2 linked regions of the Cricetulus griseus genome follow. The protein of the gene in region 2 binds, or shares a complex with, the protein of the main gene of each other region. Links are inferred from orthologs where the notes say so. Each region holds a gene or a part of one and is shown on either strand. Other genes may lie near its edges. The genes, in order: Csf3 and Csf3r.

Region 1 (3,909 bases), on a different chromosome or scaffold from region 2:
AAGCATAAATATTAAATAGAGATAAATAAACCTGCTGCAAATGGCTTTGCTCAGGCCTAGACCAGATGGTTCAGGGTGCAATGAGCTGTCTCCAGGAAGCTCTGCAGGTGGGAAGCGGCTAGGACACCTCCCGCCCGGCGCTGGAAGGCAGAGGTGAAGGTTGGCAGGGTGCTCTGGGTGGGCTGCACAGTGGGAGCCACCCCCAGGGATTCCATCTGTAGGGAGGAGATGAAGTCAGGGATCAGTCCTTACTGTAGGTAGGGAGTTGATAAGCTGGTCTGTGGGACTTGCTATCAACAGCAATTCCTCTCACCCCAAGGAAGCAGAGGGATAGAGGTCGGGCTCCCCACACAACAGGCCACTGAGAGCCTCCAGGGTGCCCAGGGGTGCTGGTGTGGCCCTACCCCCACTCTTACCCCCTGCCCCTCCAGATGAAGCTCACCTGCTGCCAGATGGTGGTGGCAAAGTTGGCAACATCCAGCTGTAGCATGTCCACGGTGGGGGCCAGCTCAGGGGAAATGCCTGTTAGGGCCTGCAGGAGGCCTTGGTAGAGGAAGAGTCCACTGTGGAGTTGGCTCAGGCACTTTGTCTGGGGACAGCAGGGACAGTAAGGACAGTTAGGCTATGCGATGGGATACTCCTTCTCTCCAGGAGCCCTAATACCAGGGCTTCTCATTCTCCTCCTGGTCCCCCTTGCCTTCCAAAGACTCACCAGTTGCAGGGCCTGGATGGAGCAGCGGCTGAGAGGAGCCTGCGGGATGCCCAGAGAGTGGCCGAGCAGCACCAGCTCCTCCGGGTGGCACAGCTTGTAAGTAGCACACTGTAGACAGAGGGACGCTGAGGGGCACTCACCTGGGCCAGGCTGATTCTCCCTCCCAAGTCTCCCCATCGTCCACCTGACTCCCAGTGACCCTGCTACTGTCCCAACCAGAGGGTCCCACTGCTGCTTCTCTTCATTTTCTTCCATGTCCCCTTCATGTCCCATGCTCCCTTCCTCAGGGTTTTGTGAGTATTTCGGGGATGGAATCCAGGCCCTTGTGCACACTAGGCAAACATTGCCCTTGCTCTTTCTCCCGAGCCTGCTCCCTTCCCATTTGCCCTCCTGTGTCCGCCCCCCCCCCCACACACACACAGGCTTTTTTCCTCCACACCTGCCAAGCCTAACTCACCAACTGCTCCAGCAGCTCCGAGTTCCTGGTCTGAATCTTCCTCACTTGCTCCAAGGACTTCAGCAGGAAGCTCCGGGGCCAAGGCAGGGGTGGTGGCCGAGAGGTGACAGAGACCAGGGGAATGGCCTCTTGTCCTGTCCAGAGTGCACTGTGCCACAGCAGCAGCTGTAAGGCTGGCAGCAGATGTACAGCTTTGAGACACTTGCCACCCCAGCCTCCCTCCCTCCCTTCCACGCCCAGGGCAGGTAATCAGGGCCGCTCGCTCACCCATCAGCTTCCTGCGGCTCTGGGCAGAAGGTTGAGCCATGGATTGATTCTGGGTGATTCTGGGTGATCTGAGCTTCAGCTCTGGGTTCTGCCAGGGCCTTGCTCCAGGGGGCTTTTATACATAACCCCATCAAGGCCTGGGAGGAAATTACCTGTGGCTGGGGCAACTCAGGCTTAGTAATAACTTCCCAGGATTTATGCAAATTTTCTTCTCTCACCCAGGACAATGCAGGGGGTTGGGAAAAGGCTGTTTTGCGAAAGTTTTGTGAAATCGGGGAATCTCTGCTCCTTCCTTGACGTCTTGTCCCCCCCAAACTCTCTTCCTCCAGCCACACCCAGGCCTGAATTACTCCAGGGTGTTTAATCTGAGTAGTCCAACGAGGTTGAAGTGCTGGCGAAGCCCTGGAGGCTACAGAGGGAACTCAGTCAGACCTTGGGAAGAATCAGGCCCCAGGTCAAAGTTGCTCTTATCTCTCTACCCTCTGCCAGACATGCAGAGGTAGCCAGTACCCTAACCCTCTACCCTTCTCCTGTGATTCTTAAAATACCTTTACCTGGGGACAAACATTCTGAGAAAGAAAGAAGAGCCCATTGTTCTCATTTTGTACCCATGAGCTCCCAGGTGGCTGCTTACTTCAGTGCCAGGAGGAGCCCTGGACAGCACCCTAGGGTATTGTTTTCTGTGTCCACTCCACATTTGGATAAAAACAAAATGATCCAGCATTCAGGCTGTCCTGTCCCAGGCTGATTATCTGGGAACTCCCCAATACCCACCACGATGACTCATTCATTTAAACCCCTGGATCCCGGCAGAGCAGCCAAAGGAAACCGGATGTCTGCCTTGAATGAATCAAGACCCTTTGGGGCTCTTTGCCCACCTGACTTTGCCTGTCTGTTTCCCTGCATTACTCTCCTGGCATAGTACCCAACCATAGCAGAGTCTGGGGGATCTGGAGTCGGGGCCTGGGACATGCAGGGTCCCGGAAGATCGATACACCATAGAAGCAAGTGATCTGGCTTGAGTGGACGCAGGCTGGAACGAGAAAGGAGAAGATGCATCTCCAATCCTAGAACTCTGTCCTGGTGTTAGCTCTGGAAGAGACTTTGAGTTTTCAACCCTGTGAACTGGGCCACGGAGGGAAATGCCTTGCCCAGTCATGAGTAGTAGAGTTGGAGGGACATCCCAGCCTCTGTTTCAGTTCCAACAGGGTGTTAACTGCCTAAAGAGGAGTAGGGTCCACTTGTTTGACTGATCAAATCTCAAGCTATCACTTTCTGAGCTAGTTCACTACCACCTTCTGGCCCAAGGAACAGACATCTCTGGATGCTGAGGCATAGCTGACTGGGCGGGGCCATTCCTGGGGCTAGGGTGCCCTCTGGTGGCCACAGTCGTGGACATCATCTACCTATCTTTGCTTGGAAGGACAGGGCAAGAGATTTCCATTCTTTTCTCTTTTTTTTTTTTTGGTTTTTCAAGACAGGGTTTCTGTGTGTAGCTCTGGAGCCTGTCCTGGCACTCGCTCAGTGGTTCTCAACCTGTGGGTTGTGATCCCCAAGGGCTGCATGCTTAATACCCTGCATAGCAGATATTTACATTACAATTCATAACAATAGCAAAATTACAGTTATGAATTTTAAAATTCATAATTTTATGGAATGGAACAACTTTATGGTTGGAGGGTCAACACAACATGAAGAAATTGCTACTGCTGCTAGTTGCTAACCAGAGCTCAGTGGTTAAGACTCTGTTGCTAGCCGGGCGGTGGTGGCACACGCCTTTAATTCAAGCACTCGGGAGGCAGAGGCAGGCGGATCTCTGTGAGTTCGAGACCAGCCTGGTCTACAAGAGCTAGTTCCAGTACAGCCTCCAAAGCTACAGAGAAACCCTGTCTCAAAAAACCAAAAAAAAAAAAAAAAAAAAAAAAAAAAGACAAGACTCTGTCGCTGAAGACAGCACAGGTTCTGGTCACAAGACACAGAAGTCAAGCTGGAACTGACCTGATGGCTTCCTCCTTGCTGCTTAGAGCTCACAATGCATGAAGGAGCTGTGCAGGTTGCTGAGAGAACTGTCATCCACTGTCTTACTCGGCTATGATCTCTGAATGTTGTACTACCAACTGGCCAGGCAAAGCGTGAACCTAGGGCCTCCAGCATGCAATAGTGGCGAGTCTGCAAGAGCAACCAGTGGCTTCCTGATTGGGTTTGAGGCTGGCTCTGCAGGGGGGAATCCAGGCTAGTGCTGGAATCATGGCCGATGTCTGTGGCAGGGAAGTCATAGGACCCAGTAGGGAAGCTACTGATCTTGTTCTACTAGCTAGACATGGTGAGCTTATCCAGTTGCTGTCTAAAATAATGATTTTTATGCCCATAGACCGTCAGCTTCGGTCAGAGAAGCTTCTTTTTTGTAGGGGACATTGGTAATGTATCACAACTGGCCAAAGTGCTGAGAGTTAAGTGACTGCTGGATGCTTGG
Region 2 (3,909 bases):
CAGGCACTAAGTCTTGGTAGTTCCATTGGCTGATTTCCTTCTTTAGGGCTCACCCCGATAGCCACTGCTTCTGAGAGCTTGTTCCTCAAGCACAGTGTCAAAGGCTTTAATCTTAACTGTCTCACTTTGTCATTACAGCCCTGCTGAGACATGAGTGTTACTGTTAATCGCCTTTTTGCAAATGGAGAAACTGAGGCTCAGAAAAGTGAAGAAACTCATCCAAGTTCACCAGGCAGGTAAGTGTCGGAGCCAAGGTCAGAATTGGGCTCCCGGCCTCTTCATATACAGTAGGCATGGGCTCCACCAGGCCCATGCTCCTACTCACCTAGGACCACCCTCGGGGCTTCTGGAGAGGATGTACTGATGCCAAACATGCCCATCTCAGGCATCTGCATTCAGATGCCTGCTCTTGACATAAGCCCGTAGGAAGATAAGGTGGTACCTGGAATAGGCTAGGCCTAGGTACAACCACAAATGAGTAGAGGCAGAGCAGCAAGGTCGTTCCCCCTCAGTGTGGACACGTGTGTACATGTGGTGACAGGTGTGCTGATATGAGGTTACTTTCTTATTTAAGGTCTACTATTGCTGGGAGAAAACATCCTGGTCGAAAGCAACTTGGAGAAGGAAGGGTTTATTTCAGCTTACACTTCCAGGCAACAGTCCTTCATTGAGAGAAATCAGGGCAGGGACTTGAGGCGGGCACCAAAACAGAAGCCATGGTGGAGTACTCTTACTGGCTGGCTCCCCACAGTTTGCTCAGCCTGCCTTCTGATAGCACCAGGACCACCAGTCCAGGGGTGGCACAGGCCACAGAGATCTGAGTCCTCCCACATGGAGCATTAATCAAGGCTTGCCCACAGGCTAATCTGGTGGGGGAATTTTCTCAACTGAGGGTCCCTCTTCCTAAATGATGCTAGCTTGTATTAAGTTAACACAAAACTAGCCAGTATGAGGATTAGTAGACAGAGATGTCCTGGGCGAGAGGGAAGAAAAGCTTGTGTTCCTAGTGGCTCTGATCTGGGAGGCAGGTTTCACCTTGTGATATAGTGAGGGAGGGAGAGAGAGAGAGAGAGAGAGAGAGAGAGAGAGAGAGAGAAGAGGGAGGGAGGGTGTGTCATTTCCTTAATGCTGAGCTGGGAGAAAGCTCTGGCTGCAAAGTTTGCTCTTAACCATCTCTCACTGCCTCCAGGTAAGCAGCAAGTTGGCACAATGGTGGGACTGGGAGCCTGCACCCTGACCGGAGCTGCCTTGATCCTCTTGCTACTCCCTAAAAGTAAGTGGGGGCTATGGAGGAGTATTAAAAGGGAGGTACAGGTGGCCATGATGCTGTGTGCCAGACTCTGGGAGTATGGTCTCTACATCACAGAACTTAGAAGCAGCAGATCAGTCACGATTCTAATTACAAAGGGATGGAAGAGCTCCAGGATACAGTCTGGCTCACCAAGATACGCACATGCTAACGTGGTGAGAGAGGGTCAGAAGAGAACCATGAAGAGGGAAACAACAGGAGCAAAGATCCACAGATACGAGGTTTCCTGTTGTTTCTTCAGGAAGAGACCCAATGTCTGGGAACAGAAGCCATAGTCTGAGCTGAAACAGTGAGATTGAGGCCAGGGGCTATGTAAAGTGTGTGGAACTTTGTCCTAACCTTGACTGAGGGTAATGACCGGCCACCTATGGTTCTGCACAATTATGTCAGGACGTCTGATCCTCTCAGCTGTGCGGTGGTGGTGCATGCCTTTAATCCCAGCACCCAGGAGGCTAAGGCAAGTGGATCTCCATGAGTTCAAGGCCAGTCTGGTCTACAGAGTGAGTTCCAGGACAGCAGGGTTACACAGTGAAACCCTGTTTCAAAAAAAAAAAAATCTCCCAGGGACACAAAAGTAGTGCTAGATAAGGAAGGAAAACAAGCCTGATGCTGACTCCCCATAGACAGGCATTGAGACTTACTGCCAGTAATTAGGTCCTTAATAATGCCAGCCACCCAGCCACAGGAGGCTGGGATATGGTGGAGTTCCAACAGCAGCCCACAGAACAGAGGAAATTCTTTTAGAATGGAGGGGTCTCTGACTAAAGCAGATTAGTGGTAGTGCTGACTAGGATATAAGGCTATAAAGTAGGAAGCTAACCCTAGTCTCATCCTACCTGATGGCTGTCACATGCCACGATCTTGGCAGCTTTGGGAAGGGACTGGATGGATGTAAGGCATGACTGATGCACCCTGCAGGGACAGCTCTGAGATCTAACTGGTAGCAACTGCTTTTTATCTCCATTCACAGACAAAAGTAGTAAGACACAGGGAGTCCCACTTACATGTACTAGGGTCACTAATAATAAGTAGGACACGCTGTCTAGCCCTTGTGTCTAAGCTCATCAACCCGTGAGCTTAGCCACATGTGCTTGAAGTGTCACAATCAAGATGGGCTCTTACAATCAGATCTGAACTTGGCAAGGATTGCTGTGGCCTTAGGGGGTTCTTATCACTCTGATTGTGGCTTTTGCTGCCCAGTCCCTCCCTAGTGAGGAATTGGAGTTGTCTAAGACTGCATTCATAACTGCATTCAGGGAAGGCAAATGTTCACACAGAGGGGAGCACATATATCATGGGGAAGGTGTTTACGTCACAGGAAGTGTTTATACCCCAGGGCATGTTCACATCATAGAAAGCATTCACAGCATGGGACACATTCACAAGATAGGAAGTGTTCATAGCCCAGGGTGTAGTCACACAATAGGAAGGGTTTATACTTCTGGGAGTGTTCACACCTCAGGGGGCGTTCACACTGTAAAGAGGGTTCACACCAAGGGAAGTGACCAACACAAAGCAGGATCTGCTTTTCTCTGCAGAGCCCGTCGGTAACCATTTACAGACACATGGCTGTCTATCTCTCCCTATAATGCATCTTGCAGGCCCCATACTTACTCTTCACGTTTAGTCCCCATGTCCTTCCAGACGGGACAGTGAAAAGGCAAAAGAGGCCTCTGAGGTTAGGAGCTCACAGGTCTTCACATGGCCCATGTTGGCCTGGCAGAGGAGTCCTCCAAGGCCCACCCTCTACCAATCCAGGTCTGGAGAGCTGTGGGCACATCAGGATCTCAGTCCCCGTTGTCCGCCTGGGGGACCCCGTCATAGCCTCCTGTACCATCAGCCCAAACTGCAGCAAACTAGACCAAGAGTCACAGATCCTATGGAGACTGCAAGATGGACCAAACCAGCCTGGAGACAGACAGCGGCGTCTTCCTGATGGGAGCCAGGAATCCACAATCACTCTGCCTCATGTGAATCACACCAAGGCCTTTCTCTCCTGCTTAGTGCCTTGGGCCAACAGCTTCCAGGTCCTGGATCAAGCTGAGCTTCAAGCAGGCTGTAAGTCCCTCCCACCATCCACCCATCTGCTTCCAATGCCCCTCTGCCTGAACCAGGGAAAGCAATAACCTCTTTGTGAGCAGGACAGAGGGTGTGGTTCTTCCTATCAGGTGTTATTATTTAACCCATTCTCCAGATTAGGAAACTGACATCTAGAGAGGAAAAGGAAAAGGAACTCCACAGTGTTCCTTGTAGAAATGCTTCTCTGCATGAAGCTCGGGTCCTTAAGAGGAGCTCCCTTCCAGCTGCTCCTAAGCCCAGTCTCAGTTTTCTTTCCAAATTCAACAGGATGGAGTTTGTGTCAAGACGAGGTATAAGGAGCAAATAAGAACAAAGGCATAATGGCACATTTATAATCCCTGCAGAGGAAGGTGGATCTCTGTGATTTTTTTTTTTTTGAGACAGGGTTTCTCTGTGTAGCTCTGGATGTCCTGGAACTCATTCTGTAGACCAGGCTGGCCTCGAACTCACAGAGATCCACCTGCCTCTGCTTTCCAGGACCTTGGTGATGTTGAGGACAGCTAGATCTACATAGAGAGTTC

The links.
Region 1: the proteins of Csf3r (region 2) and Csf3 are in contact, whole or in part, in a crystal structure (PDB 2D9Q), measured with the Homo sapiens proteins. The link is inferred for Cricetulus griseus from reciprocal best matches to the Homo sapiens genes CSF3R and CSF3. Residues at the interface, in NP_000751.1 of Homo sapiens: Arg164, Arg190, Lys191, Leu193, Leu194, Leu195, Tyr196, Gln197, Asp220, Met222, His261, Ile262, Asn263, Arg311, Pro313, Leu314; in NP_000750.1 of Homo sapiens: Ser42, Leu45, Lys46, Glu49, Gln50, Arg52, Lys53, Leu141, Asp142, Asp145, Thr148, Thr149, Gln152.

The regions. Positions count from the first base shown.
Region 1 is NC_048600.1:111,783,168-111,787,076, reverse strand, and holds the start of Csf3 (granulocyte colony-stimulating factor), read right to left. Parts: upstream 2,737-3,909; 5' UTR 2,071-2,736; exon of another isoform or gene 1,846-2,070; 5' UTR 1,477-1,845; coding exon 1,437-1,476; intron 1,361-1,436; coding exon 1,170-1,360; intron 821-1,169; coding exon 713-820; intron 590-712; coding exon 443-589; intron 216-442; coding exon 57-215; 3' UTR 1-56. UniProt on the Homo sapiens protein: Granulocyte/macrophage colony-stimulating factors are cytokines that act in hematopoiesis by controlling the production, differentiation, and function of 2 related white cell populations of the blood, the granulocytes and the monocytes-macrophages.
Region 2 is NC_048595.1:27,024,575-27,028,483, reverse strand, and holds the start of Csf3r (granulocyte colony-stimulating factor receptor), read left to right. Parts: upstream 1-1,209; coding exon 1,210-1,273; intron 1,274-3,067; coding exon 3,068-3,367; intron 3,368-3,909. UniProt on the Homo sapiens protein: Receptor for granulocyte colony-stimulating factor (CSF3), essential for granulocytic maturation. Plays a crucial role in the proliferation, differentiation and survival of cells along the neutrophilic lineage.